Linked DNA regions of Caenorhabditis elegans. The protein of the gene in region 3 purifies or fractionates together with the protein of the main gene of each other region. This does not show direct contact. Each region holds a gene or a part of one and is shown on either strand. Other genes may lie near its edges. The genes, in order: F09C12.2, K02F6.7 and oac-29.

The links.
Region 1: the proteins of oac-29 (region 3) and F09C12.2 fractionate together in Caenorhabditis elegans (co-fractionation; one large-scale study listed by BioGRID). This does not show direct contact.
Region 2: the proteins of oac-29 (region 3) and K02F6.7 fractionate together in Caenorhabditis elegans (co-fractionation; one large-scale study listed by BioGRID). This does not show direct contact.

The regions. Positions count from the first base shown.
Region 1 is NC_003280.10:5,108,315-5,112,988, reverse strand, and holds F09C12.2 (Mitogen-activated protein kinase), read right to left. Parts: upstream 2,978-4,674; 5' UTR 2,961-2,977; coding exon 2,769-2,960; intron 2,281-2,768; coding exon 1,999-2,280; intron 1,952-1,998; coding exon 1,784-1,951; intron 1,737-1,783; coding exon 1,669-1,736; intron 1,390-1,668; coding exon 1,137-1,389; intron 1,094-1,136; coding exon 987-1,093; intron 944-986; coding exon 757-943; 3' UTR 746-756; downstream 1-745. Other genes in the region: F09C12.8 (Protein UBASH3A homolog), read right to left, coding at 54-138, 189-210; mpk-2 (Mitogen-activated protein kinase), read right to left, coding at 4,180-4,284, 4,333-4,462.
Region 2 is NC_003280.10:2,524,499-2,531,364, forward strand, and holds K02F6.7 (Tudor domain-containing protein), read right to left. Parts: upstream 4,758-6,866; 5' UTR 4,747-4,757; coding exon 4,666-4,746; intron 4,620-4,665; coding exon 4,482-4,619; intron 3,561-4,481; coding exon 3,436-3,560; intron 3,384-3,435; coding exon 3,100-3,383; intron 3,052-3,099; coding exon 2,930-3,051; intron 2,522-2,929; exon of another isoform or gene 2,472-2,521; intron 2,376-2,471; coding exon 2,232-2,375; intron 2,180-2,231; coding exon 2,012-2,179; intron 1,963-2,011; coding exon 1,909-1,962; intron 1,861-1,908; coding exon 1,604-1,860; intron 1,017-1,603; coding exon 851-1,016; 3' UTR 723-850; downstream 1-722. Other genes in the region: K02F6.6 (DUF4296 domain-containing protein), read left to right, coding at 6,545-6,559, 6,610-6,724, 6,770-6,866.
Region 3 is NC_003283.11:8,631,371-8,638,002, forward strand, and holds oac-29 (Acyl_transf_3 domain-containing protein), read right to left. Parts: upstream 4,306-6,632; 5' UTR 4,167-4,305; intron 3,479-4,166; 5' UTR 3,466-3,478; coding exon 3,350-3,465; intron 3,296-3,349; coding exon 3,156-3,295; intron 3,111-3,155; coding exon 2,597-3,110; intron 2,553-2,596; coding exon 2,484-2,552; intron 2,192-2,483; coding exon 2,073-2,191; intron 2,027-2,072; coding exon 1,965-2,026; intron 1,797-1,964; coding exon 1,536-1,796; intron 1,490-1,535; coding exon 1,369-1,489; intron 1,310-1,368; coding exon 1,207-1,309; intron 1,084-1,206; coding exon 783-1,083; intron 739-782; coding exon 568-738; 3' UTR 501-567; downstream 1-500. Other genes in the region: grl-12 (Ground-like domain-containing protein), read right to left, coding at 4,564-4,770, 5,179-5,273, 5,354-5,612; F28A12.10 (Chlorophyll a-b binding protein, chloroplastic), read right to left, coding at 5,875-6,100, 6,148-6,248.

The DNA.
Region 1 (4,674 bases), on a different chromosome or scaffold from region 3:
TATTTCGGTAGGCTAGCAGTAGTTATGCCGGCCATTCGAGTCTCAGAACTTACTGGGCTCGGCGCGATGAATCCCGGTGATCCCGGTTTGATGGACAATTGTATGATCCGACTTCAGAATTGTCCTCTGCATTTTTCTCTGAAAATTGAAATTTTATTCACCAAAATAATAACGAATAAAAAACTCACTGTCTTGTTCACAACGACCCATTGGAATATCGTCAATCTTGAATTGCCAAGTAGTTAAGTAATGATTGAAATTGTCTTTTTCCGTTCTGTTTCAATATTTATTGATTATTTTTCATGTTTTAGATTCACGTGTAAACCGCATCAAAAGGTTATTGCAAAGTAAAATACTAAATATTATTTTCTGATGTTTTTTTTTTTAATTAAATATTCTTATTGTCTGTTTTCCTCGATAGACCTTGCATATTTCAATGAAATTAGCTAATTTGAATTAGTTGGAGCTTCAAAATTTTCGGAAACTTGTTGATCTGAATTAGGGCTTAAATCCCAAAAAAACCTGCAATTTCGAACCCGTCCGTGAAGTTAACTGATCTTAAGGGAATTTTCATTTTTAAACATCATTTTCATCACAGGATGAATTGAATTTTAAGCCAGCAACATGAACCGCTGTTCCAAATTTTCTACCTCTGTAGAAAAAACTTGTATTATACAATTCAAAATCTTGATAGTTTTTTATCGCAATACGATTTATTTTTGAGAAGTTGAAATTGAAAGTTTTTTTTTCCACAATTTAGATTTTATTATTCTTAAAGAGTATTTTTCCAAATACTTGTTTCAATGAATTTTTGTGTGTAACTTTCGATCCCTCACTCGGATAAACTTTTTGTTTCTTCTCAAATATCCTGACTTCTTCTTGAAGACCTTTTATGATAACATCACCTTCATATTTGGCAGTTTCCAGCAGATTTTGTCGAATGCTGAAATTTTGAATTGATACTTTATTGAATCGTTACAACTTACTGATTTGGGCAGCTTGGCTCATTTTTGACGGTGTGCCAGTGCTTTACAAAGGGTTCCTCCAGAAGTTGTTCGGCCGAAAATCGTTTCCAAGGTGATATTTGTAGCATCTAAGTTTTCAGAAATATATGATATTTCTAATATGAAACTGACCTTTGAAACAATATTTCTAGCTTCAATACTGGCATTTGGGAACATTGCCGTAAACGGAAGGGGAGTTTTCGGGCCAAATGAAGAAATATAATCTCTGATTGATGGTGATTTAATTCTTCTGATTACTTGTTCGTCGGGAGTTCCAAGATATTCAATGAGAAGTTGTATTTGAGAGTAGGAATCTGTTCCAGTAAATATTGGACGGAGGAGAAGCATTTCCGCCAGAATACATCCGGCTGACCAGATATCTACTCTTTAAAACAGTGTGGTTAATGAAATGAAAAGTATTCAAAGGAAATATCGATTTTATATTTCCTTGGTTAAGAGAAAATATCTCCAAATACAACAATAAAAAATTACAAAAATTATTTGCCAGTTGTAGTCAAAGTTTTTGGTCAATCTTCAACATTTGGAAGAATATATATTTTTGATATTTTTCAAGCTTTTATGCAAGTTCCTAATCTCCAAGTTGCTTTCAGATAATTTAGACTTTTTTTCAGAGTTTCACATTTATTCCATTTTATCAACTTACTGAGTATCATACTCGCCCATCGAAAGAAGAATTTCTGGTGCACGGTACCAAAGTGTTGACACATATTGCTGAAATTATAATAAATATTTCAAAACATTCGAATTCTTCCGCTTACTGATAAGTCGCCGCTAATGTGTGCATTTGGGCTAGTATTCGGTGTCGTTTTAGTGGATGGACCGGATCTTGACATTCCAAAATCAGCAATTTTTAATGAGCAATCTTCATTTAAAAGTAGATTCGCAGGTTTCAAGTCTCGATGAATAATTCCAGCGGAATGGAGATACTGAAACAAATTCTAAAGTTTTCGAAGAGAATTTAGAGTGAGTAAACCTTCAAGCCTTTGAGAATTTGATAAAAGAAGTATTGAAAATGTTTTTCGTTCAATGTCTGATTTGATTTCAAAACACTCAAAAGATCAGTTTCCATAAGATCCATAACTATATAAATATCCTGACCCGAACCACTTTCTCTCATTAAAACATCAGTTGAATTAATTATATTTTCATGAGAAAGTTCTCGAGTTATCCGAATCTCTCGCAGTGCACATTTTGCAGTTGATTGATTTTTGAAAACTCGCGTTATTTTTTTGATGGCTACTTGTTTGTTGAGCTTCTGCAAAATTGTATATTTCTGTTGATCATCGCAATGTTTATTTATTTTCCAATAAAAAAGGTGTTGAAACTGAAAGAATGATAAAGAAATTGGTTGAATTTCGTTTTGTAATTTGTTTTTGTAGTAATAAACAACAGGAATAGTTTTCAAATCATATGGAGTCTGTGTTCAAGGTTTTTTATCAATTTGCAGACGCGAGGGTGAAGATAATTTAAATTCGTTCGGTAATTAATGTATATGTAAATGATTACTCTCTTCGAAGTAATCAAAATGTCCTGACTTGGAATCCACTACACTAACAAGGAATCACAGATGGCAGACGTGCCTACCCTACTCCGAAAACCTTAAATTTTTTGAAGATGAGTCTCACACGATTCAACAGTTAATTTTGACATCTTTATACTTGCAGCAAAAAAAAATATTAAAAATAAGTTCCAGAGACACTTTCAGATTTTTTGTTGAAATGTTTTTTAAACAAAGAAACTTACTGAATCGATTGCTCTGCACACTACTCCAAAAGCCCCAGCTCCCAGGTTTTCTTGGGCCAAATATTGAGTTGCTTCCAGACAAAATAAATCATTTGAGCAAGATTTCGATCCGCTTTGCTCTTCAAGGAATACGTTTTTTGAATAATAGTCTGGAGCTCTGTAAAGAGTTACAGTTGAACGTGTCTTCAACATTTGTTTTTTTCTTCTCTGACCTTTCTTGTCAGCTTGTTTATGTCAGAACTCCGTGGGTTTTATTATGGAAATTGAGGCGTGTCCTGATAAGAGAGACAGACACTGCGTACTTTTGGTGATGTTATCAAATGTTTTCCGGTGAAGAATTTTTTAAAGAATGATTCCGCCTATGATTCAAGTCATCGTCCTCTGCAGTCCATAAGCATTCGAGAAATCATAAAAATTTCATCTCAGCACATGGTTTCTTATCAAAACTTCCTTTATGTTTAATGTAACAGATGTATATTTATCAGATTTAAGAAAAACAGATTCACAGTTGAAGAATTGATAATATTTCGTTCAATATTTACAGTTTAAGAATTGAAGTGGCTGCTCAACAAAGAAAGGAGAAGGAGTTTATTATTTTTATGCTATTGACAGATCAGTTATGTAATGAATCACAAACAAATATAATATTGCATATTGTGCTCTTCCCATAAACTTTTCTGAAAATATTTTAGTGCCGACGTTCTTTCTCTGTTTGTCAAGGTCTCCAGTTGGAAATTTGTATTCTCAAAAAAAAACGAAATTGAAATGAAGTCCTTCAGACCTTTTATAATTGGGTGTAGAGCTCTGGAAGCTTTTTGGAAATTTGTTTAACCTGAAAATGTTTTCGATCGAGTTGGGCAATAAGGGTTTCGGTTTTTCTTTAAAAATGATGCTGTCCAAAAAAGTTCCAGAAGCAACAAATAACCACAATTTCAGATTGAATTCATATTCATATTTTTAATTCAGATTGATTTAATTTAGAAATTAAAATTTGAAAAATTTTTATGTTTAAATATGAAACTCGGTTGCCGGTTGTCGCACAGCCCTGTTGCAGACCTCGAAAAAAAATTTTTTTAAATAAAACCATTCATATTCCTCAGTTTTTTTTTAAATTTTGTCGCCGGCAATAAAATACAATTATTTAATAAAATACAATTTTTAAGTTAATTTGGAACGGTTTAGGAAAAATCTGCAGTATTTTGAGGAGGAAATTCATAAGGGAGAGATTTTTTTTTAATTTGCGCATTATTCCTTTCCATTATTTAATTCCATATATTTTCCTAGTTGTTTATTCAGAACCCCTGCAACCATCAGTCAAACAAAAAATAACCCGTTTATCATATTTCATCACTGATCATCAAAAGAATTAGTAGAAGAATTAAAATATTACATACTAGATAAATTGTCATTGTCACACTCCACGGTCATCATCTTTACTGGTTTTCCTTAACTCCTGTCGAGACTTTCGCAATCTCACTATTCGATCTTTGTCATCAAGTTTTGATGAACTATCACTCTGAAAATTTACTGTTTGGGGCCAACAGAAGAAAATGTAAAATCTAACACTAGCTCGCTTGTCTCGAATTTTCGGAATAAATCGTCGTTTCTCACTGTATCCTTCTCGTATTCGGTCGATGTTTCTTCGATCCAGATGATTTTTCGATTTTTTTGAAGGAGGGATGCCGCCAGATAACCTAAACAATTTTGGTTTTAGTTTTTAGATTTAATATTGAATTTATTATATCCAAGCTTCTCAAAGCTTCTTTAACAAAGATCCTAATAGTTTTTAATTGTGTCAAGCTGTTCCAAAAGAAACATTTCGTTTTCGATTAAATTTTTCTGAAACATCAACTTCAAATTAAATTCAGTCTGAAATTTCAAGAAACTTTCAAATTTTAAAAATAAA
Region 2 (6,866 bases), on a different chromosome or scaffold from region 3:
GAAATTTAAAATGTGCGCTGTTTATGAAATGAGAAAATATTGGAAAGCAGTCGGAAAATCATGAATTGAATGAAAAATCGTTCCGAAACTGGTAAAATAAAATGGTTTTAACGGAAAATCATGGGAAAAATCAATTAATCTCAAGTTGCGGACTTGCATTGCTTACCGTAGTTCGAAAAAAAAAAATCAATTTTGGATTAAATTTAACAAAATTTTCAACTAAAATCAACTCTGGAAGGTGATTTTTCTGAATTTCTCATTAGAAATATTCAAATTCCCATCTCATTTCAGTGAAAATCGGTATCGATAAATCGGCATCGAGAAAAAATCGATATTTCCCGATTTTTTTTTGAGAAAGGCAAAGAAATTTGAATTTTTCTTTGAAACGTTGCGATTTTTACCATAAAAATATGGTACCCGGTCTCGACGATTTTCTGAAATTTAAAAAAAAAAAAAAAAGTTCTCAACAACTTCTTGTGTTCATCCTCAATTCCTAAAAAAATAACGAAGTATAGCCTAAAAATTTTAACAAAAATTCAGCGAAAATTCAAATTTTTTTCAGGAGTGCACCAATGGCTCAGTGGGAATTTCCACGCTTGGCTCTACCAATCAGAAGACCGGGGTTCGAGCCCCGCGGTGGTAAGAACTTTTTCAAAAAGCTTCTAGGCTAATTCGCAAGTGCTGAATTCAAATTGTACACTTTTAAAAATTGAAACTAACTGCAAATCTTAAATAATTTCATAAAATAAAGGGAAATAATCCATAATCATACAATTAGTTTCACAATGAGAGAAAAAAAACACTTGTATAATTATACGACATTTAAATTACAACGAAAAACATTTAAAAATCAGTTCTGATCCTTTGTGGAATCCTGCTCACAAGCGAGATTATCGAGCGTCTCCTCAAGCTGGCTTATTTGAATCTCTATATCAGCATCTTTAGCAAAAGCATCAGAATATTCGATAGGAAGGTTGACGCCATCGGCGAATCCAGCAGGGTGCAGACGCGGATCTCTGAAAAAAATGATTTAGTAAAAAAATGTTGGCAACAAGGCCCTCGTCAGGCCACGTTTTGGCCCTTAGCCTACGCCTAGGCCTAAGCTTGAGCTTAAACCTAAGCTTGAGCTTAAGCCTAAGCTTGAGCTTAAACCTAAGCTGGAGCTTAAGCCTAAGCTTGAGCTTAAGCCTAAGCTTGAGCTTAAGCCTAAGCTTGAGCTTAAGCCTAAGCGTGAGCTTAAGCCTAAGCGTGAGCTTAAGCCTAAGCCTAAGGCCCTGAGCCTAAGTCCCTAAGCTTGAGGCGCTAAGCCAAATCCCTAAGCCTAAGCTTAAGGCCATAAGCCTAAAGTTCTAAGCCTAAGTCCCTAAGCTAGAGGCGCTAAGCCTAATCTCTAAGCCTAAGCCAAAGATCCTAACAATAAGCCTAAGGCTCTAAGCTTAAGGCGCTAATCCTAATCCCTAAGCCTAATCCCTAAGTTTAAGCCTGAGCCTAAGCCTACGCCTAAGCCTGAACCAAAGCCTCAGTCTAAGCCTAAGCCTAAACCAAAGCCCCATTCTAAGCCTAAACCTAAGCCTAAGCCTAATCCCAAGCCCGGCAAACTCACGCGACATGCATGTAGATCGTCTTGTCCAGTCTAGCCACATACAAGTGTGCAATGTGCTCGGTATACTTGACAACTCTCGCAGCGAGCAAATCCGCACGTCGATTTCTCGTCCTCCCCGAAGATGGCAGGAACCAGGAGACCTCCGCACACTTTGTTCCAGCCCAAGGCGTAAGCGATCCGGCGGTTGGGTTGAACTTCGAATCCCTCAACATTGCTCCGTGCTTCATGTGGACTCCGATCTCGTTGCTTAGAATTTTCTGGAAGAGGTTCTTGCCTACTGGCCTAATTTTCAAAAATACCCTTACCCTATCAAACATTGCTCTCTTTTCAGATTCGTTGAGACGGGGAACTCTGGCTTTCTGGAAAAGTAAAAAGCCTAAACTACCACAGTCTTGCTGAAGGCCTCACCTCTTTATCAGTCAGGCAATAGGTTCGGATATAGGCGTCCACGTTACTCTCGCCTTCAATTTTCTGCACGCCATCCGGTAGATCAATCGGAAAATGCAGTCTCTCCAGGTCGCGATACCCGAAAATTCTCGCATCATTCAAGTGGAATTGCACAGGCATCTTGTTATCCTGAAAATGAATTAAATATTTCTTAAAATATTCTGAAACTAAATAAACGCACCGACAACAGCGAGTCCCTGACAAGCTCCGTTCCACGTGAAATTTGAAAAAAGTAGGAATCCGTCAGGCCTGTTTTTCTAGTCTTGCACTTGACATGTGCCAGGTAGAAATGGTCCTCTTCCAGGTAGACAAGGACTTGAAGATCCTGAAAAACAGGAAAACAGTCTGAGTGTGGGGGACTGGGCAGAGCTCTGGCGAAAATTTGATCTTAGGCTTAGGCTTAGGCTCAGGCTTAGGCTCTGGCTAAGGCTTAGGGTTAAGCTTAGGCTTAGGCTTAGGCTTAGGCAAAGGCTTAGACTTAGGCTTATGCTTTGATTCAGACTGAAGCTTAGATTTAAGCTTAGGCTTAGGATTAGAATTAGGATTATGCTTAGGGTCAGGATTCAGGCTTATGGTTAGGGTTAGGCTTAGGCTAAGGTTGAGGCCTAGGCTTAGGCTTAGGCTGAGGAATAGTCTTAGTCTTAGGCTGAGGCCAAGGCTTAGGCCTAGGCTTAAACCTTACCTTACTGGACGGAGCTCTGGCAAGAATTTTATCTAAATACAAGTCTTACTTTTACTTAGACTTAGGCTTAGGCTTAGGCTTAGGCTTTGGCTTTGGCTTAAGCTTAGGCGTAGGCTTAGGCTTAGGTCTAGGCTCAGGCTGAGCCTTAGGCGTGCCTGAGATACATCTGCCCGACTCTGTTCAATAATCCTTCAAACCTGAAATCGATGAGGCGAAATCGTATTGTTCCGAAAAATGTGACGATCCACGATAACCCGCTGATCCCTATCATTCTCCAGTTTGATCAGAATTTTGTAAGTCATCCCAGCAGCTCTTTCGTCTGGAAAAAAGAAGTTATTTTCCGCGCCAAAAGACAAAGATCACCCACCATTTGTCTCCTTCAACTTGTCAGCCCAGCCGAGTTCATGACAGAATGGACTGAACATGTGCACACATCTCACGAACAATCCATTTCTGATAAAAATCAGTCCGTTGTGATTTTCAATGATCTCTACGATGGTGCATTTCCATGGTTCATCGTCGTGTTGATACTCCATGAAATCGCCTTTTTTGAGAAGCTCGAAGACTTTTTTGTTGAAAAATCCCGACAAATTTTGGAAAGCTTCGATGGAATAAAGGTTGTCGGTCTTTTTGCGAATCCATTTGAATTTTCTGAAAAAAATATGAAGGTTATTGGTTTTTATCAACAAACAAAAATCCTCACAATGGCTCCATTTTGAGCACTTCCGTGGACTTAATGACTTGATCATAGCTGATTTGAGTTTCTGGCTCTGGATCCGATTTGTTCGCTTTGACGATACGGACGCAAATGTTGTCTGGACCAGCGTTCTGTAAAATATCGTTTTATTCAGTCAAATTTAAGTGATGAAAACCGAAAATTCTGATTAAGACTCTACAAATGTTAGCAATATGACTCTAAAAATCAACTAAAACTGATCTAAACATATATTTTAAGCGGAATCCAGGATTTTTCGAAAATGCACAAGTGGCGCAGTGGGAATTTCCATGGTTGGCTCTACCAATCAAATGACCGGGGTTCGAGCCCCTACTGTGGCAAAATTTTTTTCAAAGTCCTTTATTATGAATCAGGTGCGTTCGACTCAAAATTCATAGTTTTACCGTACAACAAAATTTTATTTTTGCTTTAAAAAACTGAATTTGAGTTCAAAAAGCTAAAAATCCTGCCGCGTTCCCTCAATTCTCAAGAAATATTAGTAGTGCAACTCTAAAAATCAACTAAAACTTATCTAAACCTATATGTTAAGCTAAATCTGAAATTTTCAGAAAATGCGCAAGTGGCGCAGTGGGAATTGCCATGGCTGGCTCTAACAATCTGAACACCGGGGTTCGAGCCCCAATGTGGCAAAAATATTTTTTCGAGTTTGTCGTAGGGTATTTCAAATGCGCTTAACTCAAAATTTAGCTTTTAAACCCATGAAAAATAAAATTTTCGCTCAAAAATCTGAATTTTCTACTGACTTTCCTTAATTCTACACAAAATTTTAGTGGTATAAGTCTAAAATTTAACTAAACGCACTGGACTAACTCTATAAAACCTATTTTAAGCAAAATCTAGAATTTTTTTTAAAAATGCACAAGTGGCGCAGTGGGAATTTCCATGGTTGGATCTACCAATCAAATGACCGGGGTTCGAGCCCCAATGTGGCCTAATTTTTTTAAAAAGTTGTGTTAGGGTAATTCAGGTCTGTTGAATTCAAAAATTTTAGTCCCCAGACTTCCCCGACTAACCACAACTCTTGCCGGGTAGGTCCCATCATCTGTCCTAACGTAGATCACCAATCCTTGTGGCATTATCCACTCCTTGACAGTAAGCATCGACTGCTTGTAGGGACTTGTGAAGTGTTCGTACTTTTGTCCTGCTTGTGCCTGCCAAATTTTGATAATGAATCGGTAACAACTCGGAAATTCTCACCTCAACATACTCGCCCCATTTTTTATTTGCCTTTAACTGCTCAAGCTGCTGCTGTGAGAGGGGAACGCGAAGAGCAGCCATTGCTAGAAGTACTGAAAATCAGTAATTATTAGAAAAAAGAGAGAAAAATGCCGAAAAAACTAGCAAAACTGATCGAAAACTCCCAGTTGTATCGAAAACAAACAGAAAAATGCAAAAAATCGCGGCGAACTGATGTGGTAGATCAAAAATAATTTTTTGGTAAATTTGATCTACAAAATATATTTTTCTCGAAAAATGAAATTTTAAAAAAATTTCTGTGTCCAAGTGGTAGTTCATAAATGGTGTAACTTTCTGTCGGCAAACTCGGCTATTGGAAAATTGCCGATTTGCCGGAATTTTCATCATCGGCACATTATCCATTTGCCGGAAATTTTCATTTTCGGCAATTTGCCGATTTGCCGGAAGTTTTAAATTCCGGCACTTTGTCGGTTTGCCGAAAACTTTTGTTTTCGGAAATGTGCCGCTTTGCCGGAAATTTTCATTTTCAACGATTTGCCGATTTGCCGGAAATTTTAAACTCCGGCAATTTGCCGGTTTGCCGGAAATTTTCATTTTTGGTGATTTGCTGATTTTCCGGAAATTTTCATTTTTCGTGATTTGCCGATTGTCCGGAAATTTTCATTTTTGGTGATTTTCCGATTGTCCGGAAATTTTCATTTTCGACAATTTGCCGATTTGCCGGAAATTTTAAATTCCGGCACTTTGCCGGTTTGCCGAAAACTTTTATTTTCGGAAATGTGCCGCTTTGCCGGAAATTTTCATTTTCAACGATTTGCCGATTTGCCGGAAATTTTAAACTCCGGCAATTTGCCGGTTTGCCGGAAATTTTCATTTTTGGTGATTTGCTGATTTTCCGGAAATTTTCATTTTTCGTGATTTGCCGAGTGTCCGGAAATTTTCATTTTTGGTGATTTTCCGATTGTCCGGAAATTTTCATTTTCGACAATTTGCCGATTTGCCGGAAATTTTAAATTCCGGCACTTTGCCGGTTTGCCGAAAACTTTTATTTTCGGAAATGTGCCGATTTGCCGGAAATTTCATCATCGGCACATTATCGATTTGCCGGAAATTTTCATCATCGGCACATTGCCGATTTGCCGGAAATTTTCATTTTTGGTGATTTGCTGATTTGCCGGAAATTTTCATTTTCGGCGAATTGCCGATTTGCCGGAAATTTTCATCATCGGCACATTGCCGGTTTGCCGGAAATTTTCATTTTTGGTGATGTGCTGATTTGCCGGAAATTTTCATTTTCGGCGATTAGCCGATTTGCAGGAAATTTTAAATTGTAATTAAAAAAAAAATTTTTAACACTTAAATTGCGCCTTTTTCCCGTTTTCTTTAGATATGCTTTAGATATGAGGATGCGTAAAATTTTGACAACTAAATGTGAAATTCTGAATTTCCAAAAAAAAGATGTAGAAAACCATAAGTCGGCAATTGCCGATTTTCAGGCAAATTCGGCAAATCAGCATTTTTCGGGAACTTTTTAATTCCGGCAATTTGCCGCCCACACCTGGTGTAACTTCAACAGCACTCTAAAAAAAAAATTACTAAAAGTGCACTTTAAAATTTTATTTTATTTTTTTATTTCAGCTCCAAACCGACGCATCTAATTGCATTTTCATCGACCGCTCCCCAAAACATTTCGACTTAATCCTGAACTTCCTGAGAGACGGTGACGTGGATCTTCCTGAACAAGGAAAAGAGCTCAAGGAAGTAAGGAGAGAGGCTCAATTTTACCTGTTGGAGGGTTTAGTCGATTTGTGTGATAGGAAATTGATAGGAAACAGCAATTTGTTTGTTGAAAAGTGATACTGACAAGTTGGAGTTTCAAATGAAAAGCGACAGGGTACGGTGATAGTTGAGAAGTTTGAGAAGAATCTAATTTTCTGTTTTCAGCCCCGTCTTTTGATCGAATATGGAAAGATATTGGATTTGGTGGAATACCAAAGATTGGGTTTCAATGTGTCGGATATCATGGAAAGATATGGAAATCAATTGCACATTGCTTTTCGTTAGTTTTCATACCCTATAATAACGTTAATAACATACATTTTAGAAAAAAATAGCGACCCAGAAGAGTGTAAATCAACTCTTCAATTCAAAACTAACATAAGAGCCATCAGTCAGAGATATGACAGCTGGCAATATTCAAA
Region 3 (6,632 bases):
AATAGTCCTGGAAACCAAGAAAAGAGTTGAAAAAAGTCTAATAAAAGAATTAAATAAAAAATCGAATAAATTGTTTTTAGACTGAGAAAAGAATAGAGTCGATAAACAGAGCGCAACGAGGTGAAAACAGACTGAAGAGAGACGGGTCACCAGTACGTCAGCTGATGGGCGGAGTTCATTGTGTACGCGTTTGCAACCACCGCGCGCGTTTTTGCAATGATGCCGCATGGTTTTATGTTGCTCGAGCGTTTACAGACAAATGGATCGAATTTTTGTCAAAATAAGCCCATATATGAAGCAAAAAAAAGAATCTTACAATTGTATAAAGTTTTGGTAGATTTAGTCAAAATTGAAAAAAAAAATTATATTTGCCTTAAAAAAGTCTATTTAGCTTGGTGGCATTTTTGGAGTACTGTAGCTGTCAAAACTTTTCCAAATCAATTTCAATATTATATAATTTATAAGCTACTTAGGCCTACCATCGATTTAATCGATAGAAAATTGGACACTATTTTATATATCTAAATATACAAATAAGATCTGAAAATCAGAAATAAGGATAAAAAATTAGAGGTTTTCACTGGAATCTAACATTTGAAAGTAACTATCAATTCCTTTTTGGTAAATGGGTTCAATATATTTAAATCCGGTAAGTGTCAAGTGAGATCCATCGTAAGTCAATGCTTTATAGGTATCTTTTTCGAAGAGATAAAACTTGTCGGATCCATTCGTGAGAGCCTGAAATAAAATTGTTTTTTTCCTAACTTGACGCTTAGAAATACCTTCTGAATATCATTAAATTGACAATTACTGCAATTAGCATTCAATAGTCTATCAGTTTGGTCTGAAAGTTGTCTGTTGACGGTCTTAAAGTTGACCGCCAACTTTTCTTCCAGATTTTTTCTATAAATCAAGCTTCTTGCCATCAACTTTGCTGGATAGTCTATTGTAACATAATATGGAAGATCAATGAAAACCATTTTCGCAACAGTCTTGAATGTATCCAACGTCTTAGGAATCACTTCATCAAGAGCATTTGACTCGAAGTTGTAGGTGTTAGAGGTACCATGAAAAGTGATTTCGCTGAAACATATTATTTTTCGAAACAGAAATTCAAATGTTTTTTCAAAAAGTTATATTTTTTTGTACAGAAAATTAGACGATTACGCCGGCCAAATCCCCAAAAATAATTAAAAAAAAACTAACTTCATTCCCTGAATAATCCACAAAAGATCAGGTTTAATATCTCTTGCCATGTCAAGAACAACTGCATTATACAGTGGGACAATATTTAGAAGTGGAGCTCCACCTGAAAATTGAAGTGACGTCATACTACCAAAACACACAGGCTTAACAAAATAACCATACCATGTTTTGCAAATAATCGAATTTCTTCATATCTTCCGTCAAAAAGCTTGAAAATAGTCGAAAAAGCTCGTATCGAAAGCGAATTTCCAATTACCATTATAGTTCCGGTGCCATTTCCTTTCTGAAATTAGAAGTGCTCCAAAAATAGTAATCTACCGATTACTTACTTTTGAACAATATTCAATACCAAACGTGTTCAAGGGCAATTTCGCAGTAGTTTCATTAAAATCACAGCCAAGATCCGAAATTGGAATGATTGTGTTGGATTTATTAAAGTTAAATTCAGCATTTTCAATCAAAGGATTAGATAATGTTTTCATGGCAAGACATTGATTATTTTCAATCCATGGAATCATGGCTAAACACATTCCAATCGTGAAAGCGGTAATTGTAAAGTTGATATAGAAATCAAACTGGGACAGTTTCTTCTGAAAATTGTTTTTGTAAATAATAATCTTATTTTCATTTTTCTAGAACCACTTCTATTTGATATCAAAATACATATCAAAAAATAAATTAAATAAAACAGAAAACTGTTCTACTTTTCCTTTTTTAAATCTTTTCATCTTTGACCGCATTAAAAAAAAACAACAAACCTCGATGAGAAAATGTGAAAGTAGAGATAACACAAAAACTACAAAAATTGCAATTACAGCTTCTGAAAAGTTTAATCAAATATTAGTTTAGGAATGTTGAAAAATCACCATAAACTTCCAAATTCAGATGATCTTTTTGTTGAATGTACTTTACAAAATTGATGACTGGCCAGTGAATCAGGTAAGTAACATAGGAAATATCACCAATAAATGCCAACGGAGGAAATCTGAAAAATATATTCCCCAACTTTTAATTTTTAAGTTTTTGAGCCGCTTTCCATACACGAGGCCGGCGTGAGCATTTTCGGAAACACAATATTTCAGTAAACTCTAGATTAGCCGAATAAAGTTACACCACAAGTGATTGACCGTTCCGGACAATAAGCCCGAGACCTTTTCAATGACCTCTTGCGCAGTTTCACCTAATTCAAATTTTTTCCTAACCGTAAAATAAATTCAAACATGTTTTTTAAAAGAAACACCACTTCAATATATAAATTCTTGAAAATAAGTACTTACGTTAAAAATGAATTTTCCAGACGACCACATAAAAGGCACAATATTGCCGCGCAAATCGACATTGCAAATCTAAAAATAAATATTATTTTTCATCGTATTCATAGAATTCCAACCGTGTGAGGTGCTCTCCAAACATCCATGGTAAAATGAGTACTGTCGTTAATACAGCTAGAAATATATAAGGAACAATATCAAATAGATTCCAATTTTCCTTATTTTTCTTCATCTCAATATAAAAATCCATAGTCTCGTTATTCTTCTGTGACAGATCAAATGCTACTGATCCAAGTAAAAACTGCCAAACTCTTGATGCGAGAAAACAATATGAGAGTTCAAATGGAGTTAAAAGTTGAAATAAGAACAATATAATTATTGCAAGAGAATAACCAAATATACGATTTGAATTTGAGAGGTTTGAAGCTATGAAGTAAATAATAGGTGCCATCAGGTAATACTGCAGTTCTGTGCAAAGCGACCAGAGATGAGTTAAATACCGAATTGTAGATACTTGATCCCAGTAAGAATGATGTTCAAATATTGGTTGAAAATTTGAAATCAATGGGAGACACCACCTGACATCAAATAAGAAATCAGATCGTTCAGTTCGTAGTACAAGACAGAGAACACCTGAAATACAACACTAAACTTATTTGAAAAAAGTTCTAAAAATACCAATAATTGTTCCAAATATTGTCAAATAGTACAGTGGAATTATTCTAATGAATCGATTTTTATAAAAAATCAGAACCGATTTTAATGTAAATTCTTTTGACAGAATTTTAGTCATCAAGTATCCAGAAAGCACAAAAAACCTGAAAAATAACAATTGAATGCGTTATAAAAATTGAAAATAAAAATTGGCTCACATATCAACTCCCACAAATCCGTTGCTGAAAATTTTGGGAAATAGGTGGAAGATTAGTACTAGAATAATAGAAATTCCGCGAAGGCCTTGTAAACTTTGAAACTTTGAACTGGACATTTCGTGTTTTTAACTGAAAAAAACTTAAAAGTGGAATAATGGCAGTGTAAAAAACCAAAATTGACTAAAAAAGAATTGCATAAAATGTTTCATATTTGAAAATTTATTTTTTGAAAAAAGCTTTGTATTATTGAAAAATTATTATCATATTCATTAACAAATGAAAAAAAGTTGGAAAACAATTTGTGAAATCCATATGTATGTGTGGAAAAATTCAAACGATAATAACCGATAAAAATGGGTGGCATTCGAGAAAATGGAAAAATGGAAGTGACTCAGCCCAAAAGTACCAATCGTATCGAGTACTTGGTCATTACAGACCACTTTCTACCAAAACTAAATCTTCACGGAAGCTACTACACCTTTAAACTCGGAAACTAGTAAGATTTGATCTAAGAAAAACACGAAAAGAGAAACGATTGGAGGTTCGATCTAAAATAGTCTAGATTTGCATATTGAATCAGGTCAGACAATCATTGCGTTTTTCATTTCTTCAAACGCAACACTTTCTCAATTCTTTAACCTTATTTAATGTGAATCCAAAAGTTCATGGGATTACGTAAACGGAATTTCTGATGGTAGTTTACTTGAAAAATCTTTATGATTATAACCATCACAAAAATAATAAGGAAAATAAATAAATCTTTATCTGTTTGTACCCGGAATATACAAACTGAACTGATATATTTTCTGCTACGTACATGCTGAACAACAATGCCTGAAATCCCGCAGAAAATTTCGATGACTTGCAAGTAGTTTGATTCAAAGAAGCAACAGCAGAACTGAAGATGGTTCAGGAATACATAAGAGACTTAATAAAAAACTGGCTTTTCTATCTTTTTTATAAATGTATTTTTAAAAGGACACCTGCAAAAAACTGACCTAATTGCAACGGTTCCTTTTCGATACATGCACTTTTTCCCTTGTGAAACATTTTTTTATCTCATTGCAAGTTTTTTATCTTCTCATCAAGATTCCAAAAGTTTTTTTATACGATTAATGTTTTGAAAAATATTCATTCAGTGTAAAAATTTATTTTAAATTCTTCATTCAAAATTAATTGATATTCCTTGAATATCTTAATATTTCCATTTAGTATCACATCAGCCGTCTTCTAACAACATCCGAAAGTTGTTTGAACAAGAAACACGTGACATCACCGACAGAATGTTGACAGAAAAGTTCAGTATTTGCCACGTATGAAAAGTCGCCTCGGGCACAGATAACATTGAATCGGCCACCCATCGTTGCCTCGGCTTCTTCTTGAATTCTTCGCTTTGCAATCGCAGTCACACGGTCTATTTTCTAGAAAATGATATAAAATTATGAAGCTCACCAACACAATTTTTTTGGTAACTCGAGAAAGAAAATAACATTGTATTTTTGGGAATTTCTTAGGCATTAAATAATTACACTTGAACCCTGAATTATTCAGGGTTGAAAATTGAAAAGAATTAATGGAATATCTCAGAGTAATGGAAAAAGTTGGGTGAGACATTGGCAAGCCATCGATCAGGCTGCGCCCAAGTTAGAATGAACTTTTTACGATGTTTGACCCAAATTTAATATGCAAGAAAATTTTGGTTCAAAGTTTCGCAGAAGTTGAAACAAAGTTGAAGTAAACTTCATTACAGTGGTTTAGACCGAGTCTTCCAAAGTCTCACTCAACTATTTTGTAAACTCATCATTTTAAAATCAAGTAAATTGACTGACACTTTCGATAATTCTTTGTAGTTCGACAGAGTTGCAGTTTCCTGATGTTACGGTTGTCTCTTGATCGTCTTGTCGCTTTACTCGGTTCACTTTTTCTGAATACATATTGAAGATATTGGTGAATTAATTCAGAGGTTTTAAATAAGTTGGAAACTTAAAAAAAACTGAAACTCACCATGATCTGCCACATATGTAGCATTACTTAACATTGTAAGGTGCCGTCTTCTTCTCTTTCCGTTACAAGTTCCACATGTGTTACAACATGCCGGCGGGGAAGGTGGAGTACACGTCATGATTGGAAGACAAGTAGTTGGACATGTAGACGGTGGAGGAGTACACGAGCATCCACAATTTGATCCACCGAATAATGAATTAAAGAATGCGGAAGCTGGAGCAGAAAAGAGAAGAAAAAGAAGAAGGAACGGTGAAAGCATCGCAATGGAAAGTTGGATGATTCTGGTGAAAGAAAAGAAGATGACTGTGGAATGAAACTGTGCTAATCCTTTAATCCATCCAAAGAGACCTGCGGACAAAGGTAACTTAAGGACGGAACGAATGAACTGGATTTAACTGGTTTCAAAAAAAAACTTGTTTTGCTGAAATTTTAATTTTGGCGTTATTTTCATTGTTAAAAACAAAAAAAAACAACATTTCAAAAACATTTTTTTTATTATTTCTTTCAAATTACTCTAATGATTAAATATCTTGTCCTGATAAATCAGAAACATAAAATCCAACCGGAACATCGTTTTTTGTAAAACCGTCTTCATAAATTATCGATGGTCCCTTTCCTTCAGGAGGTTCCGGTGCAACTTTGAATCCAGGTCTCGGCGGTGTTGAAAATGGAACAGGTTGACTCATTATTATTGGGGCAAGCCATTCTGCTTGTTTTGAGTTGAAACAACAGAAAATTGAATTCATTCTGGAAAAAATACACATTTAATTTTAAAAAAAGCTAGATAGTCTTACCTTGTTCGACGTCCAGGTGCTATACCAGAATGAAATGGAATTGATTCAAAATTTTGAAAACGGTTATTGAAAATGCAACCGGATGCAGTTTGAAAAGCCATAAGGATATGAAAACTTGAGGTTATTGCATTGATAATTGAAAGGAAATTGGAAAAAGGTACAACAGGAAATGCTTTCCAAAGGGGACAAATTATTCTGGAATTTTTTAGTCAACTATAGTTTAAATCATCAATATTTTTATGAGAGAGAGACTATACAGATTTTTATTAAAAATTTGAGATATAACTTAACCGAAGAAGTGAACTTTGCACTTTTCTCTTGCTGGTAATATTTGTATTTCAGAAAAAATCAGACAGACACTGTAAGTTTTATGTTCAGTGAAAATCACGTGAATAATATTTGGTACATACATAACATAAGTACATACACAATTATACTTACAAAATAAAAAGAACACACTCCAAAAACTACAATATTTTTTGAAA